Linked DNA regions of Pelodiscus sinensis. The protein of the gene in region 3 interacts with the protein of the main gene of each other region in a pairwise test. Links are inferred from orthologs where the notes say so. Each region holds a gene or a part of one and is shown on either strand. Other genes may lie near its edges.

Region 1 (7,433 bases), on a different chromosome or scaffold from region 3:
AGGGTGGCTGAATCCAAGGAACTAAGGAAGGCTAAGATGTACGTAGACAAGGCTTTCCGGGACACTGTAGAACCGTCCCACCTTCAATCAGACAGCCTCTGTACTGTCAAGGAGGATGAAAGGCTCAGGGAAGGAGAACAGTCTCCTGGAGCAGAGGGAAATGATCCCATAATTGGGACCCTCCTTCCAGAGGATGTTATGGTATCCTTTCATTCTGAGGATACATCTCCGGGGGAGGGAACTCCAATCATTAGGAAAAGGCAGGTGTTAGTAATGGGAGATTTGATCATTAGAAACATAGATAGCTGGGTTTGTGATGACCGGGAGAACTGTATGGTGACTTGCCTGCCTGGTGTGAAGACTGTGGCCCTCTCAAGACATCTAGATAGACTTATGTGTAATGCTGGGGAGAAGCCGGTGGTTATGGTACATGTAGATACCAATGACATAGGGAAGGGTAGGAGAGAGGTTCTGGAGGACTAATTTAGGCTGCTAGGAAAGAGACTGAAATCCAGGACCTCTATGGAAGCATTCTCTGAAATGCTTCCAGTTCCACACGTAGGGCCAGGTAGGCAGGCAGAGCTTCAGAGTTTCAATGTGTGGGTGAGACAATGGTGTAGAGAGGAGGGGTTTAGATTTAGAAGGAACTGGGGAAATTTTTGGGATGGGGGAGCCTATACAGGAAGGATGGGCTCCACCTATACCAAAATGGAACCAGACGGCCAGCACTTAACATTAAAAAGGTTGTAGAGCAGTTTTTAAACTAAGGGCTGGGGGAAAGCCGACAGGTGTGGGGGAACACCTGGATCGGACAAAAACATCTCTTAGAGGAGGTCTATTAATAGAGATGCTCTGTGTTCTAATCAGGAGGAGAGGATGGAAATATGGGTCATATCAGATGAGACACAATCAAATGAAAAAGAGTCAGGAAATGGCAGACAGATAAATACTGAGACATTTTTAAAGTGCTTATACACAAATAATAACATGAGTGAACTAGAGTGCCTAGTTTTAAAGGAGGATATTGACATAACAGGCATTTCAGAAACTTGGTGGAATGAGGACAATCAGTGGGACACAGTCATACCAGGGTACAAAATATATCAGAAGGCTAGAACAGGTCATGCTGGTGGGGGAGTGGCACTATACATGAAAGAAAATGTAGAATCAAATGAAGTAAAAATCTTAAATGAGACAAAATGTTCCATAGACTCTGTAGGGAGAGTAATTCCATGCTCCAATAATAAGAATATAGCAGTAGGGATTTATTATCGCCCATCTGATCAGGACAGTTGAGGCTATGTCTACACTGGCGCGATCTTGTGCCAGAGCTATACAAATGAGGCTAAGCGTGGAATATCGCCGAGCCTCATTTGCGTATCTAATGAGCCGCCATTTTGCAGAAGAGGCTCTTCCACAAAATGGCGGTTCATTAGATATGCAAATGAGCAGGGCTCGACAAATAATGCAATCTACTAGTCCATGGCGAGTAGATTGCAACCCAGAAGAGCCAGGTTTGGGCAATCTGCGCATGCGCAGATCACCAGATGATGCGGCTGGCGAGCAGGGCTCGCCGCGGTTCGCCAAGCTCTGCAAATGAGGCTCGGCGATATTCCATGCTTAGCCTCATTTGCATAGCTCTGGCGCAAGATCGCACCACTGTAGACATAGCCTGATAGTGACTATGAAATGCTAAGGGAGATTAGAGAAGCTATCAAAATAAAAAAACTCAGTAATAGTGTGGGATTTCAACTATCCCCATATTGACTGGGTACACGTCACTTCAGGACAGGATACAGAGATAAAATTTCTTGATACCTTAAATGACTGCTTCTTGGAGCAGCTGATTTTGGAACCCACAAGGGGAAAGACTATTCTTGATTTAGTCCTAAGTGGAGCACAGGATATGGTTAAAGAGGTAAATATAACTGGACCGCTTGGAAATAGTAGTGACCATAATGTAATAAAATGTAACATTCCTGTGGTGGGAAAAACCCCTCAGCAGCCCAACACTGTGAAATTTAATTTCAGAAAGAGGAACTACACAAAAATGAAAAGGTCCAGTGACAAAAGTAAAATATCTGCAAGCTGCATGGAAACTTTTCAGAGACACCATAATAGAGGCCCAATTTAAATGTATAACCCAAATTTTAAAAAACCAATAAGAGAACCAAAAAAGTACCACCCTGGCCAAGTAAAAGAAGCGGTGACAGATAAAAAGACATCTTTTAAAAAGTGGAAGTAAAATCCTAGTGAGGAAAATAAGGACCATAAACTTTGTCAAATTAAATGTAAAAATATAAGAAGAAAAGCCAAAAAGGAGTTTGAAGAACAGCTAGCCAAAAACTCAAAAAAGTAATAGCAAAATCTTTTTTAATGTACATCAGAAGCAGGAAGCCAGCTAAACACACAGTGGGGCCCTTCGATGATCGAGATGCTAAAGGAGCACTCAAAGATGATAAAGTAATTGCTGAGAAACTAAATGAATTCTTTGCTTCAGTCTTCACAGCTGAGGATATTGGGGAGATTCCCAAACCTGAGCCATTCTTTTTAGGTGACAAATCTGAGGAATTGTCACAGATTGAAGTATTATTAGAGAAGGTTTTGGAACATATTGATAAACTGAACAGTAACAAGTCACTGAGACCAGATGGCATCACCCAAGAGTTCTGAAAAAACCCAAATGGGAAATTGTGGAACTATTAACTGTGGTTTGTAACCTATCCTTTAAATCAGCTTCTGTACCCAATGACTGGAAGATAGCTAATATAATGCCAATATTTAAAAAGGGCTCTAGAAGTGATTCTGGCAATTACAGACCGGTAAGTCTAACGTCAGTACCAGATAAATTAGTTAAAACTATAGTAAAAAATAAAATTGTCAGGCACATAGATGAACATAATTTGTTGGAAAAAAGTCAAAGTGGTTTCTAATAAAGGGAAATCATGTTTTACTATTCTGGTAGTGTTCTTTGAGGGGGGTCAATAAGGGAGAACCAGTGGATATAGTGTACTTAGATTTCCAGAAAGCCTTTGACAAGGTCCCTCACCAAAGGCTCTTAAGCAAAGTACGTTATCATGAGATAAGAGGGAAGATCCTTTCATGGATTGATAACTGGTTAAAAGACAGGAAACAAAGGGTAGGAATAAATGGTAAGTTTTCCCAATGGGAAGAAGTAACTAGTGGGGTCCCCCAAGAGTCTGTCCTGGGACCAATCCTATTCAACTTATTTATAAATGATCTACAGAAAAGAGTAAACAGTGAGGTGGCAAAATTTGCAGATGATACCAAACTGCTCAGGATAGTTAAGACCAAAGCAGACTGTGAAGAGTTTCAAAAAGATCTCACCAAAATAAGTGATTAGGCAACAAAATGGCAAATGAAATGTAATGTTGATAAATGTAATCTAATACACATTGGAAAAAACAATCCCAACAATATGTACAATATGATGGGGACTAATTCAGCTACAACTACTCAAGAGATCTTGGAGTCATTGTGGATAGTTCCCTGAAAACATCCACTCAGTGTGCAATGGCAGTCAAAAAAGCAAATACAATATTAGGAATCATTACAAATCATTACAAAAGGGATAAAGAATATATAAAATTATGATATGCCCACATCTCGAATACTGCATACAGATGTGGTTGCCTCATCTCAAAAAAGTTATATTTGCATTGGAAAAGGTTCAGAAAAGGGCAATAAAAATGATGAGGGGTTTGGAATGGGTCCCATATAGAGAGATTAAAAAGACTTGGACTCTTCAGCTCAGAAAAGAGGAGACTTGGGGGGGGGGGGGAGAGATATGATAGAGGGCTATAAAATAATGACTGGTGTGGAAAAAGTGATTAAGGAAAAGTTATTTACTAATCCCCATAACGTAAGAACTAGGGGTGCCCAAATGAAATTAATAGGCAACAGATTTAAAACAAGAGGAAGTTTTTCTTCACGTGGTGCACAGTGGGCCTGTGGAACTCCTCGCCAGAGGAGCCCAGGACTTGAACAGCATTCAAAAAACCCAGCTAGGTAAATTCATGGAGGGTGGGTCCATCAGCGACTATGGGGGGGATGGTGTCCCGGGCCTGTTTGTCCCGAGGGATGGGGGAGGAGCCCCTGTTGTGCCCCCCCCTCTGGGGAGCTGCTATTGGCCACTCCAGACAGTGGACACGGGGTTGGTCTGACCCCATAGGGCCTCTGTTCGTGTGTTGCTCCGTGGGGGGGGGGGGGGGGTCTGCGCCCTCCACCCGCCGCGGCGGCCGCCGCCATTTCCAAGCAGGGGCTGGCAAGACACCCCTGGCTGGGCCCTGCTCGCTCTGAGGCGCATCCGGGACTCCCCGGGGCGAAGCCGAGGCTGCACCCCGCGCGGGCCACGTGCTGGCCGGCAAGCGCGCGGGGGGTTCCAGGTGCGGGGGGCACGTGCCAACGGCGGGAGCGCGCTTCGCCCCGTCCTGCCGTCAGGCAGCAGCATGGGCAGCCTTTCCGGGCGGAAGTGGCCGGGCCTAGCGGGCGGAAGCGGAAGCGGGTGGCCTGACGTGTCGCGCCGCGCCGCGCCGCGCCATGGAGGCCCTTTACCACCAGACCAACAAGTGAGTGGGGGTCGCGTTGGGGGCGAGGCCGCGCCCGGCCCAGAGCGAGGAGCCGGGCTAGCAGGGCGAGGGAGGTGCCGCGGGCTCCAGCTCCCGCCGCGGTGCCGGGAACGGGCCTTACAGGGGCAGGGGGCGCTGCACGCGCGTGAGGGCCCGAGCCCTGGGGCGCTACAGCCGGGAATTGGCGGCCTGGCCCCGCTCCTGCCGCGGCGAGGGGGGGGCATTATTGGCCGTGACGGTCCTGGCTTGGCCCCTGTCCCTGAGCGCCGAGTCCCGGCGAGGTCGATTAATCCGACCCCAGAGCCCCATTTCCTGCACCCCGGACTCCGCCACGCCCCAGCCCTCTGGCTTGAGCCACCCACACGCCACACTTAAATTTCTTATAGCTACTGTTGTATTGCAACATTTCCCCCCTTCCCTCCTCCCTGCCCGGAGCTGCCTCCTAAGGGTGGAGGGCATGTTGTGATAGGTACCTGTAAGAAAGGTAAGGTTATTTTCACCTCTGGATACAATTCACTTCCTCAGATGCTGAAGAGAAAAGAAAAAGGAAGGGATACAGAGATGGCAGTGTAGTGTTAGCCTACTTCTTTCAGGGTAAATATGTTGCCCACCACCACACTTACAGGATGCAGCGTTTCTGCTGAAATGCTGTAGTGATTCTTTGTGAGGGTTGTTGTTTATGGCATAAGGGGTGTCAGCATGACGACTCTGGAAAGTTTAAAAAAAAAAAGATGGGGTGTGTGCATGCTTGTGCGCACAACCAATAGCTTGTCTTGGAATTGGCACAAATAAGAAAATATAAGAGGAAGGGGACCACACAGGAATTGCCTGAAGTTTCTGTAGTAGTGCAATAGAGACTAGCATCGCATGCTTAAGAGGAGGGTGCAAGAAACCTTGCAGAATGCTAATTTGCTACCTATGGAATTGTTTTTCATATCAATAAATTGGCTAGAATAATAATTTAATCATAATGTTAGGAATTAAATAGTTTTATAGTAGTTTCATTTTCTCTTTGTAAATCCATATCTATCTTGTTTGTTTATTGCATTCCTTTTGGAAATGGTGGCAAGGGTAGATAAGGAAAATTTATTTTAATCTTGTATATCCTCTTTCCCTTATCAACAAGCATCCATGTCTATGAAATACTCTGAGCTAATTACAGTATTTTCTGATACTTTGTCGCACCACATTGTAAGCACTTTAAAGGCAAGGACAGTGTCCACTTACATATTTGTGCAGCATCTAGCACAAAGCAACTTCTTTCCCAACATGGACCTTTGGATGATACTATAATATATGAGTGTGTATCAAGATTTATGGAGGATGGGAGGATCCCAAAGGACATCCTCTACGGGGAACTGGCATCTGGAAAGAGAACCACAGGGCGCCCGAACCTGCGATTTAAAGATGTCGTGAAGAGGGACATGAAAGCCATCGACATAAACACGCAGTCCTGGGAAGACCTCGCAGCAGACCACCCAAAGTGGAGGGGCACCCTGACCACACAGCTCAAGTCAGGCGAAACGAACGTGATGCGTGCATCAGAAGAAAAGCGAGCCCGCAGGAAGTTACGCAACAACAACAGCCAGGGAACCACCTATAGCTGCGACTTCTGCGGCAAAGAATGCCTGTCCCGGATTGGCCTTTTCAGCCACCAACGACGCTGTCCCCGACTCTGTCCCAGACAATTCGACACGAACCAAGACGAGAACTAGCATACGTCATCCATGGTCAACTGACCGACGGAGGCCAAAAAAAAAAATCAAGATTTTAGTGTTGAAAAGCACTAGTTAATACAGGCAGTCCCCGAGTTACGCGGATCCGACTTATGTCGGATCCGCAGTTACGAACGGGGCACTTCCTCTCCCTGGTCTCGAGCAGACCAGGGAGAGGAAGCAAAGCGGCGGCGGAACGCGCGGCCAGCTGACAGCCCAGACGCGTCTGGGCTGTCAGCTGGCCGCGCGCTCCGCTCTGCTCTCCCCCCCCCCCCCCCGTCTGCAGACCAGGGGGAGGGGGAGCAGAGCGGAGCACGCGGCCAGCTGACAGCCCAGACACTTCTGGGCTGTCAGCTGGCCGCGCATTCCGCTGCTCTGCTGTGCTCCGCTCTGCTCCCCCTCCCCCTCCCCCTCCCCCTGATCTGCAGGGGGGGGGGGGAGCAGAGCGGAGCACAGCAGAGCAGCGGAATGCGCGGCCAGCTGACAGCCCAGATGCGTCTGGGCTGTCAGCTGGCCGCGCGTTCTGCCGCTCTGCTCTGCTCCGCTCTGCTCCCCCTCCCCCTGGTCTGCAAACCATGGGGGGGGGGGGGAAAGCAGAGCGGAGCACGCGGCCAGCTGACAGCCCAGACGCGTCTGGGCTGTCAGCTGGCCGCGCGTTCCGCCGCTCTGCTCTACTCTGCTCCCCCTCCCCCTGGTCTGCAGACCTGGGGGACGGGGAGCAGAGCAGAGCAAAGCCGCGGAGCCCGAGGGCAGCAGGATAGCCACGGCGCGTCTGGGCTGTCCCGCTGCCCGCGTGTTCCGCCGCTTTGCTCCCCGTCCCCCTGGTCTGCAGACCAGGGGGACGGGGAGCAAAGCAGAGCAAAGCCATGGAGCCCGAGGGCAGCAGGATAGCCACGGCGCGTCTGGGCTGTCCCACTGCCCCCGTGCTCCGCGGCTTTGCTCCGGACGCCTGTGGTACAGCAGCTGGGGCGCTGCCGGTTGGTCCCGTAGCGCCGCTCTGGGTGCCACTGGACCAACCCAGCAGCACCCCAGCTGCTCTGCCCCAGGTGTCCCCTAGTCAGCAGCTGCTGAAAATGACCAGTGGCTGACTACAGGAAGCCCCTGCCCCGGGCTTCCTGGAATCAGCCGC
Region 2 (7,341 bases), on a different chromosome or scaffold from region 3:
TGGGAGGGACAGGGCTTGCACTGAGGGAGATGGAGAAAGTTAAATATTGGCACACCACTTCTGAAAGGTTACTAACCCCTGTACTAAGGAAACCTTCCTCCTTCCCCCCACAGCACAGGCTATGTCTAGACTGTAGGCTTCTTTCAGAAGAAGCTTTTCTGGAAGAGCTCTTTCAAAAAAAACTTCTTTTAAAAGAGCGCATCCACACAGCAAAAGCACATTGAAAAAGCGATCTGGAGTGGCCACCAGTCAACCTGTGGAACTCCTTGCCCGAGGAGGCTATCAAGGTTAGGACTATAACAGAGTTTAAAAAAAGAGCTAGATAAATTCATGGAGGTTAGGTCCATAAAAGGCTATTAGTCAGGGGGTAAGAAATAGTGCCTCTGGCCTCTGTTTATCAAAGGCTGAAGATGGATGGCAGGAGACAAATCACTTGATCACTGTATTTGGTCCACCCCCTCTGGGGTACCTGACAGGATACTGGGCTAGATGGACCTTTGGTCTGACCCAGTATGACCATTCTTATGTTCTTATAGGGCACTTGTGCTTTTTCCTGGAGGCCTCTTCTTTTGGAAAAAAAACCCTCTACCCCGTCCACACACACCTTTTTCTGAAAGAGCTCTTCCCCAACCACCACTCTGCCTAGAGGACACAGGGACATGCTAATGAGCTAGCACTCACAGCTCCAGCTGTGTGGGGGCACTGAGGCTCGGGGCTTCTGGACCATGGCATATAAACTTGCTGTGGCCTATAAGTTCCCCACCCTGGAGTAAAGCGCAGTCTACATTTAATATTTATACTAGCATAGCAATCTCAGTCCAGAGCGTAGAGAAAAAACATAATTTGGTGACACAGCCGTGCAGGGAAAACTCACAGTGTATATGCTGAGAAGCCTTCTTCTGTTGACATAGCTACAAAGGTAAGTTAATGAAGGGTAGTGGTGTTTTGATGCCTGTAGAATTCATGTTAGTCACATATGGTGAGTCTATCCTAATAGGCTATGCTGCTATAAAAAATGTAGTGTAATTTAAACAAAGCCTATTTTATTACATTCTGAATGATTTCGTCAAAGTAGATCATAACTCATTAGTAGACCGGGTAATCCAATAGGTAATCTATTAGTTCATTCTTGCATTTTATTTACATAACAGTTTTTTTCCTATTTGGACACTGTTTTTTTCTCATTTACCCCCCCCCCCCTCCATGAAAGAGGAAATCACAACCCTCCACAGTAGAAAAAGGACTTAATTGCTGTGACAGCAACATGTTTATAACTTCCCATGCCTCCTTTTACATAATTCTTCCAATGACCAACGTTCTTATTGTAGGAGAAAGAGAGAGCTTGTAGCATGGGCCTGGTGGTAGAACCAAATTAAGTAAAAGTTATACTATGAGTAATAGACGGAGTCAAAAGCAGATGTTTGCCTGCAAGTCAGTATGTGTCAGCACTAACTGCTAGCACTGATAAAAGCACATGAAGTATGTAAATACATTCCACCAGGACAGTAGAAGGACACCCAACTGAGTACATGATAAAATAGTTTGAAACAAGAATAAAAAGCATAACAGCAGATAGTGAACGCTTTGTAGGAAAGTACAAGGGGAGGTACCAAACGTCATTAGTGCATAAGGGGATACATGTAGTGTGTTTCATAGATTGTTCATTTGTCTATAAATATTGGGGTACCTTAATCCTTTGGCTGGCCTAGGGGGCAATGCTGAAATCCATACTATTGACTGAACCAAGACCATTGTCCCAGGTACAAATGTATAGGGGCTCAGAGACCATCTGGCTACCAACACCTATTAATGTACTTCGTTTGTCAATAAACCTGACTTGGGTGCCTTTGTGTTTTATGAGTCTGCCATCTTTGGGGGCTCTTGTGAAGTCTACTATGCTAGCTATCTGCAAAAAGCTGGCATGATATACTAAGGGAGCATACGAAAATGCCTGCAGCTGAACGTTTATCATCACTGATGGAGCAGGAGACCAGTCAGGACGCCACACCAATGAATCCTGAATTTACTGTATCGCTGTCCTGCACAACTGCACTTGTTACCCAACATTTAAAGCAGAGGTCTCGAACTCCTGGCCCACAGGCCATCCCTGGCTGCAGCAATTATGCGATCTGGCCTGAGACTCCAGAGGGAGAGAGCTATCTGTTACCGCTCTGCTTCCCCATGGGTTGTGCAGGGGGAGTGTGAACAGCACTCTTCCCGCTCCCCACCAGTGATTCCTGAAGCAGTGTTCCCCAGGGGACAAGGTGCCTACGTGGAGGAGAGGCAGGGCAATGGCAGGCAGTGTCTTGGGGGATGGCTTCCGGGCTGAACTGTCCAATCTCTCTGGCCATGGCTGGAGGTTTGAAACCCCGGACTTAGAATTATTTTCAAGCCACGCTCTCGACACCTCTAAAATGTTGATGCCAACAGTCGAGCTTGCCTGTCTTCAGGCAGGAAATGAAAGGTTCGACATGAATTTACAAAAAAGTTTTCCTAGTCAATGGCCCTAAAACAGAGCCCACGATCTCAATACTAACATGCTACAGAAACAAAACAAAAAAGGGGGGGGGGCAGCATTTTCAATGTATCTGCTTTCGCTTTCTGGCACCCTGAGGCTGATCGAGCGCAGCTTTACATACGGGTCCCCAGATGACTCGGGCCCCCCCCCCCTGACTGTCCCAGGGTTTGTACCGTTCAGTGGGGGGGGGGGCATGTCCGATGAGCTCAGCGAGGCGGGAGGAAAAGGCTCCCACCCAGGCTCCCCTGAAGCAGCTGGGACGGTATCTCGCTTCTGCGGCCCCCGCCCGGCGCCACTCCCTTCACGCGCCGGCCCCTCCCCCACGCCCGGGCCCCGCTTACCCAGCCCGGCGCGCCTCATCCCTGCGGCGGGGTGGGCAGGGGACCGGCGGCCCCGCCCGCAGCCGCTGAGGAAGCGGCTTTGCCCGTCGGCGGCCGCGGCCAAGCTCCAACTTCCGGGCCCTCGTGAGCCGCCCACCGCCCCAAACGCCACGACATCGCTTCGCCCGCCGCGCGGCCCGCTGGGTAACGCAGTCCCGGCGCTCCGTGTGCGGAGCCTTTTCCGGCCGCGCGGCGCCTCCTGGGTAGTGTAGTTCCAGCGCGCCGGCGCCGCCAGCCCGGGCTGCCATCGTCTCCCGGCCGCGACCCTCAGGGGGGCGGGGCCTGGGATGAGCCCCGCCCCGTCAGCTGGCAACTTGGCCGGCGTCCTTGCCGCGTCCCGCGTGCCCGGGGAGCCCAGCCCTGTGCCCTGGAGTTCGCTGCCTGGCGCCGCCCTTTGCCTTGCCCTCCTGCTCGCACTTAGTCTCTGCGCTCCGCTTCTCCGCCCCCTTTCAGTCTCTTCCCGCTTGCACCTCCCGGGGGTCCCACTCCCGTTCTGTCCCCTCTGCTCTCGGCCTGCCTCCCCACCCTACGCACGCTCGTGCTTCGTGGGGCCTGCCGCAAGCCGGGGCAGAAGAGGTGAGGAGAAACCATCGCACCTTGGGTCAGGAGCTGTCCATAGATTTGCTCCTTTTGTACTTCCCAGAGTCACAGCCTCCGATTCCATGTGTAGAGCCCTGCAGATATCCCCTTTATACCTGCCCATGTGGCTCTAACACAGTGTGCTACTCACTCCATGTGGCCCTTTGAGGTGTAGGCTGCGGCTCCCCAAAGTTCTCCTGGAGCGTGTGGCAACATCTGATTTGCATCACCCTGGGAGGGAGCGGGGCTGAATTAATGCAGGGGCTTAAAGGGCTGCAGCTCAGGGCCCCAAGCTAAGGAGTATCTGGCAAAAGGAACTCCAGGCTGCCAAAGTTCAGATCTTTTTGTGGGCTGGCCCTTAGCCACTAAAGCCAGTGGAGTGAATTGGTAGGCCAGTGTGTGCACCAGATATTTTGTTACTCATGTAAAGGGTGACCTGACCACAAGTATGAAAAATTGTGAAGGTGTGGGGATGATAGATGACACTGTACGACATAGCCTCACGTAGACTATTCACTTTAAAAATAGGACGTCTGGTAGCCCTGCTTGTGTCTCAAAAGAAGGAGCAAGATGTTCTTAAATTTAAAGTTATTTTGAAAATAGAATAAACTTTCATTTATTAAGATGAGTGCTAATTTTTGAATCATGTTCCCTAGATATTTTCTAGGACCTGATCATTTCATATACTAATAGAAAGGCCTTAGTCTTGGTGTTGCAAAAAGATTTCAGGTGCTCCTTGAATCATGGGCACCTTCGCAGGAAGAATACATTCTAAAAACATTGTTTTTCACTGTTCTAAGATGGAGTCATAGTATTGAAAAGATATCCTCTGATCCTAATGGAACGCCTTTTTTGTAAGTGAAAAAGTAGACAGCTGCTCAAAAGGGAAAATTCAAGATCCTACTATTACTGACTCTTTAGCGGTAAGAATAATTCAGATTTCATTTGCAAAGGTAATTCATCCTCTACTATAATCCTTAACCCAGTCTAATGCTCTGTCAAAATTGGGCTTTATCTCTTTTTATTAAGGCTATGATTCACTCTGTATGCCACTAGATTAATTTTATTTCCCAGTATGATAACCCTACTGCTAAAACATATCTGAAGGCTGCAGATTGCTCTTTTTCCAATTCATTTTTCCCACAATCGTCCCAAAAATTCTTTATAAAACTGTCATTTTCTGGACCTAGCTGTCACTGGATTGTGGTACATCAGGGTGCAGATGAAGATTCTAGTCTAAAGCCTAGTTAGAGTTGAAAATACATTAATTTTCATATGAAATGCATTATAAAATTAGTCTAATAAATTGCTAGAAAATATATTCATTAATTATCCATCCAAAGCTTTCTATCTGAATGAATATGAACAAAAAATTAAATCATTTGTTTTAAATATATTCTGAAATTTGTCTAACAAATTTGAGAAATATTATCTAGCTTCAAACATAAGCATATCAGATGTTTTAATTAGGGATGTGAAAGTGTAACCATGTACATGGTTAAGTGATGAGCCAGGGCTCGTTGGTTAACCTGCATGGTTATATGCAGGCTCCTGGTATGCATGGGGTGCCCCTGAGGAACCGCCTCCTCAAACCCCCCCTCACTGCTGCCTCTGTATCACGGGCAGCAGCACGGGGATGGGGGCAGGCGGGAGCTGGTGTGCACAGAGCCAGCTTAAAACTGTCTCCCTGCGTGCACTGGCTCTTGAGAAGCTAACTGCACCTCGCCTCAGTGTGAAACCGTGTAACTGCTGAAAATTTCAGTGGTTACACATTTACTTAATTAAATGCATTTTAACATCCCTAAGTGTGACCTCTTTTGAGGATGAGTGATTTCCTGATACTTGAGTTTAAATAAAATGCTTGTATAAGTTTTATTAATAGATTCTCCTAATGTGAGGCACCTACTAGACAAGAGAGGCTACACTGGATTCTCTAATTTTATAGGGGACTGGCATCCTATGTTGTTTTTATTTATTTTTTGTTTTGCAGTAGTGCTTAGACATCCCCGTCATGAACAAGAACCCTGTTGGGCTAGATACATCACAATTGAATAACCGGTAGGTAGTTCCTGTCCCAAGAAGCTTGCAATTTAGGTATAAAACAGGGCTAGTCAACACGCGGCCTGTTTGCGGCCCACAGTGCGGTTTGGATTTATGCAGGGCTCAACGCGTGACCCTCAGGTGGGAGCAAAACCAAAAAAGTAGTTAATATAATGGTCTTCTGTTGATATGCGTTTTAGCAGTTAAATTCCTGGACTGTCATTGTTCATTAAAAGTGCTGTCATATGGGTGGAAATCGGATAAATATTGCATTTTATTGATATCAGCAGAACTGGCTTAAATGGGGCCTGTGTGTTGTGTAGTCTTGCCTTAATCTTTGTAGTCATGCCCGTCAGTGTGAAAAAAGCTATTTGCATATATTTGCATGCATATGCAATCACATTTAAGTTGCGGCCCCTCGGCATGTGCTGTATCACTGTGGCCCCCAGGGCTTCCAAAGTTGAGTAGCCCTGGTATAAAACAAGACAATACGTGATTACGATACAGACAAATCAGGGAGTATAATTAAACAATATTGGTCAGTATAATAGATGTTGTGTCTTAGCAAACCAGCTGCCATTCTATATACCATGGGTGAGGAACCTTTTTTGAGTCAGGGACCATTGACTCAGAGGAAAATCAGTCGGGGGCCACACACAAGTAAAAAACCCTCACTCTGGCCCCCGACTGAGAAAGAGAAAGATGCTCCCCACGTTCCCCTCACACATAAGAGCCTACTGGGGCCCACCAGAGTAGATTGTGTGCTCCAGCCATGCGGAAGGCAGCAGGGGGGCTGCCCCCCCACACCTGCCCAGCTCACCTGGTTCCACAGGGGCTTGTCTTGTGGCCAGGACAGAAAAACAAGATGACTGCCAGCAAAAAAAGCCTCTTAAAGGGGCCATGATAATTTATTAATTTTTTATTTTCTTTTATTTTTTATTTTTTGTGCTTAACAGCCTGGGTCTCCCCCCTTTTTTTTTTCTCAACAGGATTTTTTTTGGGGGGGGAGGGGTTCGGTATTTTTGGTTAAACTATCTGGCAACCCTAATGGAGGGTGTGTCTAGACTACACCTCTCTGTTGACAGAGAGATGTAGATTAGGCATGTCGAAATTGTTAATGAGGCAGGGATTTAAATATCCTGCGCTTCATTAGCATAAATATGGCTGCCGCTTTTTTCGAAATGGAGCTTTTTCGAAAAAAATGGCAGTCTAGACGTGGATCTGTCAAAAATAAACCCTTTTTCGAAAGAGCCTGTAAACCTCGTTTTTGTGGAATACAGCATCTTTCAAAAAAGGGTTTATTTTCAATAGATCCTCATCTAGATTGCCAGGGTTTTTTTCAAAAAAGCTCTGTTTCGAAAAAAAAGTGTTGGCCATGTTTATGCTAATAAAGCACGGGATATTTAAATTCCTGCCTCATTAGCAATTTCAATGTGTCTAGACGTACCCTGAAGGAGCTACAGAGGAGCAGGCTGGCAGACTGCAGATGTGTAGCATGCATATAACACCAGCAGGATTAGAGAGGCACTGATGGTGGCAGGGGGGAAGAGAGTAAAGAATGGAGGAGAAGGTAAGGTTGGGAGAAAAAAATACATTTTAGCCCTTTCCAGTACAATCTCCCTCCAGCACCAAGAAATTTTCCATAAAACCAAATCTGAAATGCAATAGCATTTACTATTTACTCTATGCATATCTATGCTGCCCATTATTTTAGGTTTCATTCACAACTGTCCAGGAAAACTTATCAGTTCCTTCAGAAAAGGAAATAGTGTTCTCGTACTGCTTTCCCTACTTCCATCCAGATCAGAGGTGCTTATTTGTGAG
Region 3 (7,132 bases):
GACCAATTTCCAGCCTCTTTACAGCAAATCAACCTCAACTATTTGATTGAAATTAAGTAATTCACCCATTCCCAGTTTCTATTTGCCAGAAGCTGGGAATGGGTGACAGGGATTGACTGTTCTATTCATTCCCTCTGGGGCACCTGGCACTGGCCACCATCAGAAGACAGGATACTGGGCTAGATGGACCTTTGGTTTGACCCAGTTGGGCCATTCTTTGGGTCTTAGTCACACATCAGATTCGTATTATCCCTGTGTATTGTCTTCAAAGTTCATGCAATAATTGTAGTTTTATTTCTTCAGAAGGCTGGAATCCTGTTTTGTACAGCAATCTATATAAAATCCTGGGCTGCTTTAATTAATCCTCACAATATCCTATTGGCTCTAGCTCTGTTTGGGGCTATATTAATGTTTTTCTTATTGTCAGTGACAGCACTACTGTAATGTGACGTTTGTGCATGAGATCAGATTGTGCGTGTACATGTCAGAGAGGGAATGCTTGTGAGAGAGAACAAACTCAGGCACCTGGTGCTCCTATCATGTTGTAGCTCTGTAGGCAAAGCTGTATTTCTGGAGTTTTGGTTTCATTATGTGTGCACTTGTGGTTTGGTTCATTATGCTGACACTTCTGCCTGCCACTTGCTGCTCAGATCCACAGGCTACAAAAAGAGTGTGTGAGGATGGAGGGAGCAAAATGGTGCATAAAACTGATGCTTGTGGCACTTTTTGCAAGAGTAACTCTAGGCTGCTGGTGCAATTTGGAACCAGTTCCATTCATCCTATTATAAGTTCTGTCGTCATTGCTAAAGCATCAGAAGTGGGTTTGTTACTCTCCCCTTCCTGTGCTAAACCACTGCGTACTGCAATGATTATTATCCATCTCACAATTTGCTTTAGATCAGAGTAGTGACCCCACTCTATGGTTGCTGGATGCAGTTCTCAAACCAGAGGACCGAGTTGCTCATCCCTCAAAAACTATTTGGGGCTGTTCCTCTGTCACCTGTTTGAAATCCTCACACACACTTAGAATCATAGAATCATAGAACTGGAAGAGACCTCAGAAGGTCATCAAGTCCAGCCCCCTGCTCTAAGCAGGACCAATTCCAACTAAATCAACCCGGCCAGGGCTTTGTCAAGCTGAGACTTAAATACCTCTAGGGATGGAGACTCCACTACTTCCCTAGGTAACCCATTCCAGTGCTTCACCACCCTCCTAATGAAATAGTTTTTCCTAATATGCAGCCTGGACCTCTCCCACCACAACTTGAGACCATTGCTCCTTGTTCTGCCATCTGTCACTACTGAGAACAGCCTCTCTTCATCCTCTTTGGAACCTCCCTTCAGGAAGTTGAAGGCTGCTATCAAATCCCCCCTCACTCTTCGCTTCTGCAGACTAAACAGACCCAAGTCCCTCAGCCTCTCCTCATAAGTCATATGCTCCAGCCCCCTAATCATTTTGGTCGCCCTCCGCTGGACCCTCTCCAATGCGTCCACATCCTTTTTGTAGTGGGGGGCCCAGAACTGGACACAATACTCCAGATGCGGCCTCACCAAAGCCGAATAAAGGGGAATGATGACATCTCTGGGTCTGCTGGCAATGCTCCTCTTAATGCAACCTAATATGCCATTAGCCTTCTTGGCTACAAGGGCACACTGTTGGCTCATATCTAGCTTCTCATCCACTGTAACCCCCAGGTCCTTTTCTGCAGAACTACTACTTAACCGGTTGGTCCCCAGCTTGTAACTATGCTTGGGATTCTTCCGTCCCAAGTGCAGGACTCTACACTTGTCCTTGTTGAACCTCATCAGATTTCTTGTGGCCCAATCCTCCAATTTGTCTAAGTCATTCTGTACCCTATCTCTGCCCTTAAGCGTATCTACCTCTCCCCCCAGCTTAGTGTCATCCGCAAACTTGCTGAGGGTGCAATCCATCCCCTCATCTAGATCATTAATAAAGATATTGAACAAAACCGGTCCTAGAACCGAACCTTGGGGCACTCCGCTAGAAACCGACCGCCATCCTGACGTTGAGCCATTGATCACTACCCGCTGGGCCTGGCCTTCTAACCATCTTTCTATCCATCTTACCGTCCATTTATCCAATCCACAATCCCTTAACTTGCTGGCAAGAATATTGTGGGAGACCGTATCAAAAGCCTTGCTAAAGTCAAGGTATATAACATCCACTGACTTCCCCATGTCCACCGAGCCAGTGGAAGAGTCTCTACAGGTGTGAAATGTATCTGTGAAGAGACAGCAGTGGTTCACGCCTATCTTGTTTGTGCAAGTACAAAGGTCTTGGATGGTTACACATCTCCCATGCCCATGACATGCCTTGGCATCGCATGCTGTCTGTTCTTCCAGGGCTAGGCTGAGAACACAGAGCAATCCCCTCCATGTGGACGAGCTAGGTCCCACAGCCTTTCAGTCACCACTTTACAGTCGCTTTCCATTGAGGTGTGCCCCTGGGAGGTGTAGAAACAGGTGTGACCTCCTGGGGCACAAAGTTATCCATTTTCAGGGGTTATTTGCGGGGGACAGAGGGCATGATTGGACTAGATCATACTAGATCATACCACTTTTTTGGTGGGTGGGGTGGGGAGAATTAATTTTCCAGGGGAAAGCCTTGTGTCACAACAGCACCCCCAGCCTTGCTATTCTTGGCCCACATGGAAAGTTTATTCAGATATGTAGGAGAATTAATCAGGTTTTATTCTATGGGGGGACTTTCATGGCTGGGAGGGACTGCCTGCAGGGTTAAAGGTCATGATGCCACAGCAAACCCATGTTGTACACCCTATGGGCCAAAGTAGAGCACACTGATTTCAATTTTGTGGGGGGGAATTAATCCCCTTTAATTTGGGGAAACCCCTCACTCCGGGATATCCCTGGGCCACAGGTCCCAGTGGCATGGCAGCTCCTTGCCCCACACATCCATTGCCCCCGTAAGCACCCAAACCTCTCTGCCTGCCTCATTCACTTCATGTGCATTTGGGGAATTAATCTACCTAATTTGGGGGGAGACCCTAATTTAAGAAGAGGCCATTCAGGGGATGTGAAGGGTCATTTTGTTGTTGTGACCTCTGATATATCCCTAAATTGCCATTATGATTTCCAACCCGGCAGGTACCCTCAAGCCCTCAAAGGAGACCCCCCCTCCCACAATATGGCTGAAATAAGCATCTTTGGCTACGTCTAGACTGCAAGCCTCTTTCGAAAAAGAGCATCTAGATTACAACCAGTACTTTCGATAAAGCAAGCCGCTTTTTCAAAAGAGAGCACCCAGGCTGTCCGGATGCTCTCTTTCAAGAAAGCACAGTTTGCATTATATAGCACCTGTTTTCAAAAGAGCACTTTTGAAAAAAGGCGATATTCCTCGTAAAACGAGGTTTTCCGCAGTCGAAAAAACTGCTGCATTCTTTTGATTTACTTCCGAAAGAACGCAGCAACACTCTAGACGCAGGGGAAGTTTTTTTTCGAAAAAAGGCCACTTTAAAAAAAAAAAAAAACCAACAAACAAACAAAAAACCCTTGTATTCTAGACACACCCAAAAGGGCCTAGCAAATAGATCCTCCCACATGCGGAGGTTGGATATGTCATTTTGACATTCGGTGCCTCAGTTTCCCCATCTCATGATGCTGGTTGGTGGGAACATGCTAAGAGGGCCCTGGGCACTAGCCTTCAGCCTGAGCATGTTTAGGGGTCCCCCTCTCATGTTTGCAGCCCCCCTTGCCATGCAGTGTTTGTTTCATTGGGGGTGTCACTTTTTTGGGGGGGTTGCCCACGTTGGGGGGGGTGCCCTACCCATGGGGCAGCCTCTCCCCCCCCCTCCTCTACTTAATAACTGTAGAGGGTGATTAGCCTGGTTAATTTGGGGGAATCCCCGCTCCCCCCTCCCCCTCCGTCTATGAAGTCACTGGTGCCATTGACCCGCCCCTCCCCCCGCCGCGCGCGCACAGAAGGGGCTCAAGCCGCGACCGTTGCTGCCGCCCCCAACCGCCGCCCGGCCCCAAGTTTGAATTTTCCCGCCTTTTCAGGGGCCGGGCGGCATCGTTCTGAGGCTCGCGCCAGCCCCTCCCGCCCCTCCCCCCGGGCAGCCCCCAGCGAGCGGGCTGCCCCGGGCGGGGGGAGGAGGTGCCCCGCCCCCCCATGCGAGGAGGGAATTAATGTTGGGGGGCACGCCCCCCCTCAGCGCCCTGCCCCCACACTCACGCCAGTGCCCCACACACCCACTGTCCTTGCCAGCCCCCAAGTCCCCCCATTTTGCCCCCCAGCACTCACACCAGCCCCAGAGAGCCCCGCAGCCCCTTAAGCTCCCAACCCCAAATCCCCCTTCCCCCATACTCATGCCAGCCCCACAGCCCCAACCCCCCCCCTCACCTCCCAACACTCACCCAGAGAGCCCCACGGACCTATTGCCCCCAGAAGTCCCCCAACCACCCCAAATCCCCTCTGGTCCCCCCACATTCATGCCAGCCCCAAAGACCCACTGCCCCTGAAAGCCACTGAACCCCAAATCCCCCCTTGTCCCTGAGCACTCACACCAGCCCCAGAAAGCCCCAAAGACCTGCTCCCCCCCCTGTAAGCTCCAACCCCAAATCTCCCCTGCCCACCACACTCACACCAGCTCCAGAGAGCCCCACAGACCCACTGCCCCCATAAACCACAAAAAAGGTTGGTATCATTAGCCCCTGATGGGGAAACTGAGGCACACAGTGAGGCAGGGACTTGCTCAAGGTCACCAAGCAAGCCAATGGCTGAGTCAGAATAAAACCCATTGATGCTAAGCAAATATGCTCTTCTCCCTAAATACACTCATGTCGGCCAGACATCCCAGGTAATGCCCACAGGTCACCTGGCCCATTGGCTCATCATATCCCATTTCACCCCATTTTTACAGACTTGTGGGGGCTGCCCTGAGCCTGGTACAACTGTCCCCGCTTCTTTCAGCACCACTCCCACACACCCCTCTCAGATAGGCTGTCTACCCTAAATCCATCCCCTCGGGTAGAGAGGGCAGCACCAGCTGACCCCGCAAATAAGCTTTTAATGGGCATGGGGGGGGTGTCTTGACCCCCACATTGCCCTCTGCTCCATGGATGCCCAAGTTGATTAGACAAGACAGATTCCAGTCTAAGCAGGGGAGGGGTTCCCGAGACCTCTTCCAAAAGCGAACAGTTCGGGGCCGAGTGCTGATGGCACTGGGCCAAAGCCAGCTCCTAGAATGATACATGTGGGGGAATCTAAGGGTCTGGCTGTCCTGGTGTAACTACACCAATACAGCTACCCCTGTAGAGTGAGTCCCTCCCTACCCGCTCTAGCCTTTATTCTTGTCTAGTGGAATACGATCGATCAATCAATTTGCTGCAGTTTAATCAGGTGTCCCTTGATTAGTGCTTATGAGGACAGCATTGGGAAGGCTGGTCCCTATGCTACCCCCAGCAGAGAGCTTCCTTTGGGAAGGAGGACAGTGAGCATCATACTGTCTGTTTTATTGCAGGGCTAGCGAATGTGGCAGGAGACATGCTGTCCTCACAGGAGGCCGCTTCCCCCTGGATCTCTGATGAAGCCAGCTTCTGTGGAGATACAGATCAGCCAGCGAACATGCAGACCCTGTCTCACAACCCTGCAGCAGCTGTACAATTGCATATGGTCCAGTCATCAGAGGGTATGTAGCACCAGTTTGGGGTCTGTCTGTCTACTAGGGATGTAAAATCCCATTTAATTGGCTAATCGGTTACACACTATTTAACTGGTTAACCAATTTAAGGGGGGGGCAAGCAAGGTGGGAGCAGCCTCCCCCTTGCTGCAAGCAGAGGCTGCTTCAGCCTGGACAGAGAAGCCCCTGCCTGCATCCCCCCTGCCACAGGCAGAAGCTGCACTAGCTGGGTTGGAGCAGTCTCAGCCAGAGCAGCCCCTGCCTGCAAGGCACCTGGGGGCCTGCCGTGGGGCTGGAGCAGCCCCCTGCCCATAGCAGGTGGGAAGCTGCTCCAGTCCCTACTGGTTAACCCGATAAACTTTTACATGCCTATTATCTACTATATCCCCCCTCCCTTACTGTAGTAGCTAAGCACCATTTGTAATGCTACCTCTATGAGGTAAGTGCTTTGCTGAATAGCTAGCTACATTTCTAAGCCACATGGTTGCAAGTGAAAACACAATCCAAGGGTAAACTGAGCAGCGTGGTCTGCCTAAATCTGCAGTACTAGCTCTGGAGATGAGATCCACGCCATTCCTCCAAATGGCTCTGAATCCTACGGACAACAAATTCACCATCCGTACTTCAGGGGGTGGCCGAGTTAGTCTGTTACAGAAAAAAACAACAAATGGTCTGGTAGCACTTTATAGACTAACAAAACATGTAGATGGTATTCAGGGTGTTCAGAATGCCTAGCCTAGTACTCTGCCTGCTAGACCATGCTGCCTCCCAGGTTAGGCTCTGATTCTGCAGTCAGATCAGTAGAGGAGCCCCAATGGTGCAGACTGGATTTCAGGATTGGGGCCTTTCTGTGAGAGCTTAAGTGTGAAGAAGAAAAGCAAGAAGCACATTTGCTATGTAGCCCATTCACCCACAGCTTCAGGGTGTGGTGTATTGTCCCATCTAGTGGCATCTAGTTGGCTCTGCAGCCTTAGCTAGCAGTCTTAGCTACCACATAGGCTTTTAGCTTATGTGGTAGATGGCTATAATACCTAGAGGCTACGTCTAGACTGGCATGATTTTCCGCAAATGCTTTTAACGGAAAAGTTTTTTCGTTAAAAGCATTTGCGGAAAAGAGCGTCTAGATTGGCACGGACGCTTTTTCGCAAAAGCTTTTTGTGGAAAAGAGTCCGTACCAATCTAGACGCGGTTTTGCGCAAGAAAGCCCCGATGGCCATTTTCGCCATTGGGGCTTTTTTGCGCAAAACAATACCGCGTTGTCTTCACTGGCCCTCTTGCGCAAAAGCATTTGCGCAAGAGGGCTTTTGCCCAAACGGGAGCAGCATAGCATTTCCGCAAGAACACTGACAATCTTACATGAGATCGTCAGTGTTCTTGCAGAAATTCAAGCAGCCAGTGTAGACAGCTGGCAAGCTTTTCCGCAAAAGCAGTTGCTTTTGTGGAAAAACTTGCCAGTCTAGATGCAGCTGGAG
Region 4 (7,028 bases), on a different chromosome or scaffold from region 3:
CAGCATTCCCTGCTCTCCTGAGCTTCTGAGTCTGGCTGGATATTCAGTTTAAGACATCCTCTGATCGCCCCGCTTCCCCAAGCATATTTTAAAGAGCAAGGAAATCCCAAGTTATGGGGCACCTCTTAGCAGCATCCTCTTGCCCACACAGCAAGTTTCCACCATCAATGACAGACTTCACTTTCATAAGGAGCTTCCTTCTGCTTCCACCTAATGAAGAAACTCGCTGCGCATGAAGCATGTTCATGTCCCATACACACGCCCTTAGGTAACAGAGCTGGTTGAAATTTTTCTTACAAAAAGATTTGCTGTGGTTTTCTGCTTGGTTTTGTTGTTATTGTTTGATACAAGGCTTTGTAAATGATTTTTTGGCAAAATGTTAGATTTTTTTTAATCTTTTGATTTTTTAGATGAAAATCAGAAATACTTAGACTGCTAATTCTTTTTTTTAATTTTCTTTTTTTTAAGGTTTTAGTTTTTCATTTCCCCCTTTTTTCCTCTTTTCTTGTTTTTTTTCTTTTTCCTTCTTTTATTTTTATTTTTTCATTTTTTCTTTTAACCTTTTTCTTCAGAAAAGTTTGAATGCCTATTTTGTTACAATTTTCAAAAATGGGGAAATAATGGAAAAAAGAGGAAAAGAAAAATTGGTCTATTTCAAACCTCACAAAAGGAAAACAATTTCAAAATATTTCACTTTTTTCCCCCCTTTTTCAACAAGCACTGTTCATTCCAACCTCATGCTTCCCCCACAAGCAACACACCCTGCACCTATCCTGTATACATACGCTAATATTGCTGTGGTCATTGGGCAATGGGGCCATTGGGGGACACAGCGGAGTAGAGTGGATGGTGGAGAGTGGGGTCTCAAGGCAGAGTAGGAGTGCAGGACCACAATTTTGTCTCCCCTCCACTCCCCCAGTTCTCGAGATCTTCCCACAGTGGTGCTCCAAAGATGACTAGCTGCACCCTTCCAAAGAGAACTGCGCCACAGCCAGCATTTCTTGCCCCATTTGGGGAGATTTAGCCTCCCAAGCCTCTTGTACCCACTGCCCATGCTATGAAACAAAAAATTAACTCTTGCTGTTAATGTTTCATAATATCACCCACTGGCACAACTTTTCCTGTAATCTTGTGGCATAGCATCATTCCTTGGTCACTTACTTGTGTCAAGTTCTTTAGTCACTATGTCAAATAATTCAAGGCTATGGCCTAGTATGGCTCAGCTAAAATCTTACAGGCCTCATTCAGCCTGTAGTCCTTGTGTTTCAGCCCAGCTTATTTACATACCTAACAGATCATTATCCCTTCTAACTATTGATCAGTCTTATACATCCATCATTTCAATCTAGTGAGCATAGAGTGATTGCATATGACATAGCGTGTTAATTCGCCATCCAATAAATGAACAATAATTTAAAATAATTGGCTACACTGCAAAGTGGCCCCAAGGGACTGAGCTGGGACAGTGAGACATCTGGGGCTCAGCCAGTTGCAGATTGCTCTGTTTCAAGGTCAATATGTTTGTGTGTGTCTGAATACACCAGTGTGTGCATCGCATGTTTGGCTGCTGCCTTTCTGGCCAGCACGGCAGGGATTGAATTCGGAATCTCCCATGTTAAAAAACACAAGCAGCTGCAGCTTGAGCTGAAGAGCCATTGCTACCTTGCTGGCACAACAAACTCACACCCTGTGTGTCCAGGCCTGTGTATGTGTGAGGACACAAACTGAGCTTTGCTTTCAAAAGAGCAGCGTGTTGCTCCTCCTTCAGACACCAAAATTCTTTCTTGATCTGATCCCACCATCTCCTTGAGAGCCTGCTAAGCCAGTTGGACAGAAAGCTGTCACTAGACAAACAGCAGTGACAGCAACGACTCGCATTCCATCTCTCCCCCCACTTCCAACTCAAGATAGGGCGAACGGCAAGGCCTGTCCACAAGCACTCGACTGGGGATTAGGTCAAGCAACAGACACTCGACAGCACTTTCTGGAAAACTTCTCTTCAGGCTTGTGACTGACTGGCCCCAGCTCTTCACAATGCTGCTGACCCCTTCTCCTTGCTTCCTAGGCAGGCGCTTTCCTCACCTCCTCTCCCAAACCAGACTTTCTGCACACCTTGCCTCATTCTTGAAAGAGATGGAGCTTCTATTTGCCTTTCATTCTCCTTTGGGCTGTAGCAAACAGTATCATCATTGCAGCCAAAAGATCATTTAGCTGCTGCTGTAGCTATAGCTGGCAGGGGGCTCTGTGAAGCCACAATCCATGCCAGTAATGCAGGGATCCTTTATGTCCAGTAGAGCAGAGCAGACCAATACATTGAAAGCCAGTCTTTTTCTCTCCAGTACTGCAGAAGAATGAGAGGGTTGCATCAGCCCAGCGGGGCTTGCAACCTGTGCTTCTAGGGAGTGTAAATGCCAGCAGTGAAAGTAACTTAACATTTCTTACAGGCACTGTCTTATTACAAACCGGGTCCCTCACAGCTCTTTAAACAGCTCCCTGCTGGCTTTTGCCATAGCTCAGCCAGCTCTTGCCAGAGCTGCGCACCAGAGCTCACCCATGTATTTTCACCTCTGGAAAATGTTTTATATTTTGTTCTGAAGTGTTAGGCATAACAGCATAAACCTCACTGCCACTGAAAGTGCTCTTTAATCAGGGACACTTTCTTTGATGAAGTGCAGCCTTTGCCTCATTCCTCTAGGGGACTGTTATCCCAAGCAAACACTCCCACCTCACAGGTTCACTGCCCTAATAAGACAAGCAATGGGACACAGGCAAGCAGGTGTGTCTATCTACCCCATGTGTCACAAGAACAGTGATTATATAGAACAGCTAGTTCCTTCTTCACTTGTCCTTATGACAACATAATGTGGTTTTCCTGGCAGCAGTAAGTGGGTATCCACAGAGGTTAAACTACCCAAGTCCAGTATACATGGGGTTCTGTGAAAAACCTGCCCTACATTCTCTAGGAGTGGGGCTTTTTTTTTTTTTTGGTTGTGTAGTAATCCTAGGGACATGCCTGGAGGGGAGGCCCCCACAATGTTAAGAACTTTCAGAATTCTCACTCCTTAAGGCACTTTACAGGTGGGTTACTGGGGATTTTTTTTCTTTTGGTAATTGAACTGGTGCCCATGTATGCACTTTTTGATGTATACAGAGCTCCTGAAAGACTGGGACCCCATCCCCAAGTTTTTTCCCTCTGTTTGTTTTTTAACCTCAATTATGAAGAAGTATAGTCAACTTTACCTGGGGATCCCAGAAATGGAGATCATGAGTTTTCATAGCCCTTCACTGAGTGGGATGGAAGCAGGGGCTGATGAATCTTAAAGATATCCTTTGTCTCGAGTGTTCCCCTGCCCGCTTTTCTTCAGTGAACAAGCTTTCACTCCCTAATCAGTAATGCTACAAAGACTTCCACACACATTTAACTGTGGGTACTTTATACTCCTCCTGTGCAAAATTAAGCCCAAGTGTGATGTCATAATCCTACTCATTCTCTGGTCATTCATAGTCTTCTAGGGTGGGTAAAACCTGAATTTCTCATTTAGAAAACCCACTGAAGGTAAAGAAACCTAATAACTCCACCCAAATGCACCTATCTTTCATGCCTTCTTTATGAAACATGCAGACACAGATCAGAGTGCAAACCCAATTTGGTGGGTTTTCACTTTTGCCCCTCAGCCCCCTTTTTCAGGACAATGAAGGCATTTCTTAAAAACCCTTTCTGACTTTTCCACTCAGAGTATTCTCTTTGGGGATACCAAAATGGAGTCATTAAAATAACAGTCCATCCAGCAGTAATACACACACGTATGTACTTCTGATTCACCTATCCTTTTTAAAGTTCAGAGATCTCCTAGGAGTGAGTCACTTGTCCATCCCAATAGATTATAATAATACATTTTGGTGTGTGTATTTTCAGTACAACCACATTCCAGTACAATCAAAGAGGCACCTTCTGCTCCCATCCCAACCCAGGAACAGGTTTGGCTAGAAACAGGTTCCTCTCATATGTTGCACACCCCACCAATCAAAACCACTTTTCCTAAGCACTCGGGGACCTTTAAAGACAGGCAGAGCTGCAGGGGGGCTTGCTTAGCTTTACAGGTGTGGTTGAGTTTCTGTAGGATAGCAGCACAGCACAGCACAGCAGGTGAGTAAATTGCTGTATTCCTTTTCTCTGGATAGTCAAGCTACTGCTGTGTTACATGAAAAATAAGGAGGCTTTTGTAGTTAATGGCTTATTTTAGTATCTGCAATATAAGTGAGTGGGTGTTTAGTAATTTGATGGGATTAACTATAAGAGCTTATTAAGTATCTTTCTTTTCTGCCTGCAGGCTGCCTGTTCTGTACTGTTCCTTTATTTTACTTCTTAGAGACATGAACATTTAGAAAAAAGTTGTTACATATTGCCAATATATCTCTGAGTGCAGGAATAAAGGTTACAGATAAAGTGTGATCTCTATACTTACTTCTCTTCTGAAAGAAGGAAGGGGGTGTCCTTTTCTGGTTTGGTTCAATAAAGCTAGTAAGGGAGGGAAGAAAACAACTGTTCCCTATTTCTTAGGTTATTATACCTGATAATTGAACAGGCACTCTAGGGTTCTCATAAGCATCCTTTCATAGATAACAATTTCTCTCTAAAAAAGACTTAATTAGTAAGGCACTTGTTTTGGGGGGTCTATTTTATTCCTGTGGTCTGAAATAACTGGCTGGGTATTGTAGTCTTTTTTCTTAAACCTGGGGTGTTTGAGTGCTGTTAAACAAGCTGTTCCATTTCCGAGATGGCAGCATTTCAGTGGTGGGTGAAGTTACCAGAGGAGCTTGTTGAAGGGCAAAGAAAGCAGAGCTGCAAATGAACACTTGTGAAATGCTTTGCTCCTATGTAGTCTTTCATCCACAATGCTTAAAGAATTCGATATGGTGTCTAAAATGACCATAAGTTCATATAGTCTCCCCTTGTCTTAATTTTTTTGAAGCTAACTAAAGATCATCTGGTCATCTGAAGAAGTGGGTTGTGCCTGCGAAAGCGCATGATACCATTTACATGTTTTGTTAGTCTTTAAAGTGATACCAGACTATTTGTTGTTTTTTAAAGTTTATCCTGTACAGACTGACTCAGCTAGCCCCTGAAGCTAAAGATACAATGTTATCAAGTTCCTCGAGGCTTGAATTTTCTACTAAATTAGAAAATGTCATTTTGTCTAATGCAAATCTGTCTCCTCTACTGTCAGTCCTCAATTTCTCTTTAGCAGCTGATCAGAATGAGATTGTAGAGAGACCAGGTAGGTGGGGTAATATCTTTTATTAGATCAACTGCTGTTGGTGAGAGAGACCAGCCTTGACCTTACAGAGAGCTTTTCTTGCTCTGAAGAAGAGCTCTGTGTAAGTATATATCTCTCACAAACCAAAAATTGGTCTAATAAAAGAGACTTCCTCACCCACCTGGTCTCTAATATCCTTGGCCTCACACAGCTACAACACCACTGCATTCAAGAATGAAAGTCTTATTTTGAATGTGTGAGGAAGGCAGAATGCAGTAAACCCTCCACGGTTAAGGGACTTACCCCAACCAAACACTCCTGTCTCCTTCCATGTGAGAAATCTTTGAGACACACCTTGATATTTGGCTGATGTCGTTTATTATTCCTGCATGAGTGAAAACATTTTTTTTTCTAAGGCTGGAAGGGAAATGTTCAGTAATCTGGGCTTTGTTAGTTAGAGAAATAGAAGGTGTGGTCCTTGAACTTTTCAGATGTATCTGGTTAAAGGCAAGTTAGTGCTGGGTGGATGAACCTAACCTTTCTGTTGCTGCAAGATTTGGTTTGTTCAGTTGTGCACGAATGACTCTGAATGCAACAGCTGACGCATTTGGAAACACCTTGGATTGAATGATGGGCAAACCCTATGTGAGCCTGTTCAATAAGACGACTGGATCTGTTGTCTCTAGCCTCTTACTGCATGCATTTCAAAATGTGGTGCACAAACAGCTCCATAAAACTGGGAGGAGATAAATCTGGGAGTAGGTTAGCCTAGTGGCATCTCTGTGCGGAGCACTAATGTTGATTGGCTAAGTGGGAGCATAGGTATAATCCTGACAGACTCCAGGCATTTGCCAGCAGAATCAAACCTGGAACTTCTGAAACTTAGGGCAGGAGCGTCTACACTGCACGAGCCAACAACCAGAAGGAAGTTAGCTAAAGCTTTAGGACAGACTCATTATTCCCTCAGTAAGTGATCTCAGTGCCACTAGATGGGGCAGCACACCACACCCAGAAGGCATGTGGGTTACCACAGAGTGGAGGAGAGAAAATCTATGCACCTCTCTCCTGCCCCCACACTCGAGTGGCAGTGCTTGCTGCAAGATGAAAAACCTCTCTCTTGCAGAAGGCCAGGCTAGACACCCTCTTTTTTCTATCTCTGTTAACATTGGTGCTCAGCCAGTCCCTGGTGTGGGGGTGGAGAACTGCTGACCCACAAATCGGAGAGGAGCAAATCAGCTTTATACGTTAGGTCTGTACGAAACAGAAGGAAAGCCGAGGGCTGGGTTTCCTCTCCCTCAGGGGAAATCCTAGACTCTCGGCGTGCACAGCAATGGGGAAACCTCAGGTTGTCTGTGTCCAACGTGGGCATTCTGTTTAATGAAGACCTAAAAACTACCTTGAGCTGGACTTGCTGGAGCTGCTGCTGCATGAGATGAGGCTGCTTGGCTCTAAAAATGTGCCTTGTGTTTTGGGTGCCTACCAAATGGGCTTAGTTTGCATTTTCCACTTTCCTCACTGGCCTGACAGCTCTAACACACAAGACAACAAGTATAGGCCAAGCCTGTTCCTGGTGCAGCTGATGGGGCACAGAAAGCACAGACCTGCCCATAGATTGCTGAAGAGCAGTGATGCTGCAGCTCCTGAAGTCTGACTAATTTCTCAAGTCCCACACACAATCCTAGCACCCTAAAATTGGAAGGGACCTCGAGAGGTCATCAAGTCCAGTCCCCTGCCCTCATGGCATGACCAAGCACCATCTAGACCATCTTT

Evidence for each region.
Region 1: the proteins of KASH5 (region 3) and GOSR2 interact in binary tests that used the Homo sapiens proteins (3 or more experiments, as listed by UniProt). The two-hybrid records come from large-scale screens. The link is inferred for Pelodiscus sinensis from reciprocal best matches to the Homo sapiens genes KASH5 and GOSR2.
Region 2: the proteins of KASH5 (region 3) and BET1 interact in binary tests that used the Homo sapiens proteins (3 or more experiments, as listed by UniProt). The two-hybrid records come from large-scale screens. The link is inferred for Pelodiscus sinensis from reciprocal best matches to the Homo sapiens genes KASH5 and BET1.
Region 4: the proteins of KASH5 (region 3) and UPK1B interact in binary tests that used the Homo sapiens proteins (3 or more experiments, as listed by UniProt). The two-hybrid records come from large-scale screens. The link is inferred for Pelodiscus sinensis from reciprocal best matches to the Homo sapiens genes KASH5 and UPK1B.

What each region holds. Positions count from the first base shown.
Region 1 is NC_134739.1:2,714,778-2,722,210, forward strand, and holds the start of GOSR2 (Golgi SNAP receptor complex member 2), read left to right. Parts: upstream 1-4,431; 5' UTR 4,432-4,560; coding exon 4,561-4,589; intron 4,590-7,433. UniProt on the Homo sapiens protein: Involved in transport of proteins from the cis/medial-Golgi to the trans-Golgi network.
Region 2 is NC_134712.1:212,343,311-212,350,651, reverse strand, and holds the start of BET1 (BET1 homolog), read right to left. Parts: upstream 3,017-7,341; 5' UTR 2,879-3,016; coding exon 2,860-2,878; intron 1-2,859. UniProt on the Homo sapiens protein: Required for vesicular transport from the ER to the Golgi complex. Functions as a SNARE involved in the docking process of ER-derived vesicles with the cis-Golgi membrane.
Region 3 is NW_027465974.1:153,140-160,271, reverse strand, and holds the start of KASH5 (protein KASH5), read left to right. Parts: upstream 1-4,111; 5' UTR 4,112-4,675; intron 4,676-5,501; 5' UTR 5,502-5,524; coding exon 5,525-5,669; intron 5,670-7,132. UniProt on the Homo sapiens protein: As a component of the LINC (LInker of Nucleoskeleton and Cytoskeleton) complex, involved in the connection between the nuclear lamina and the cytoskeleton.
Region 4 is NC_134711.1:144,295,460-144,302,487, reverse strand, and holds the start of UPK1B (uroplakin-1b), read left to right. Parts: upstream 1-4,012; 5' UTR 4,013-4,147; intron 4,148-7,028. UniProt on the Homo sapiens protein: Component of the asymmetric unit membrane (AUM); a highly specialized biomembrane elaborated by terminally differentiated urothelial cells.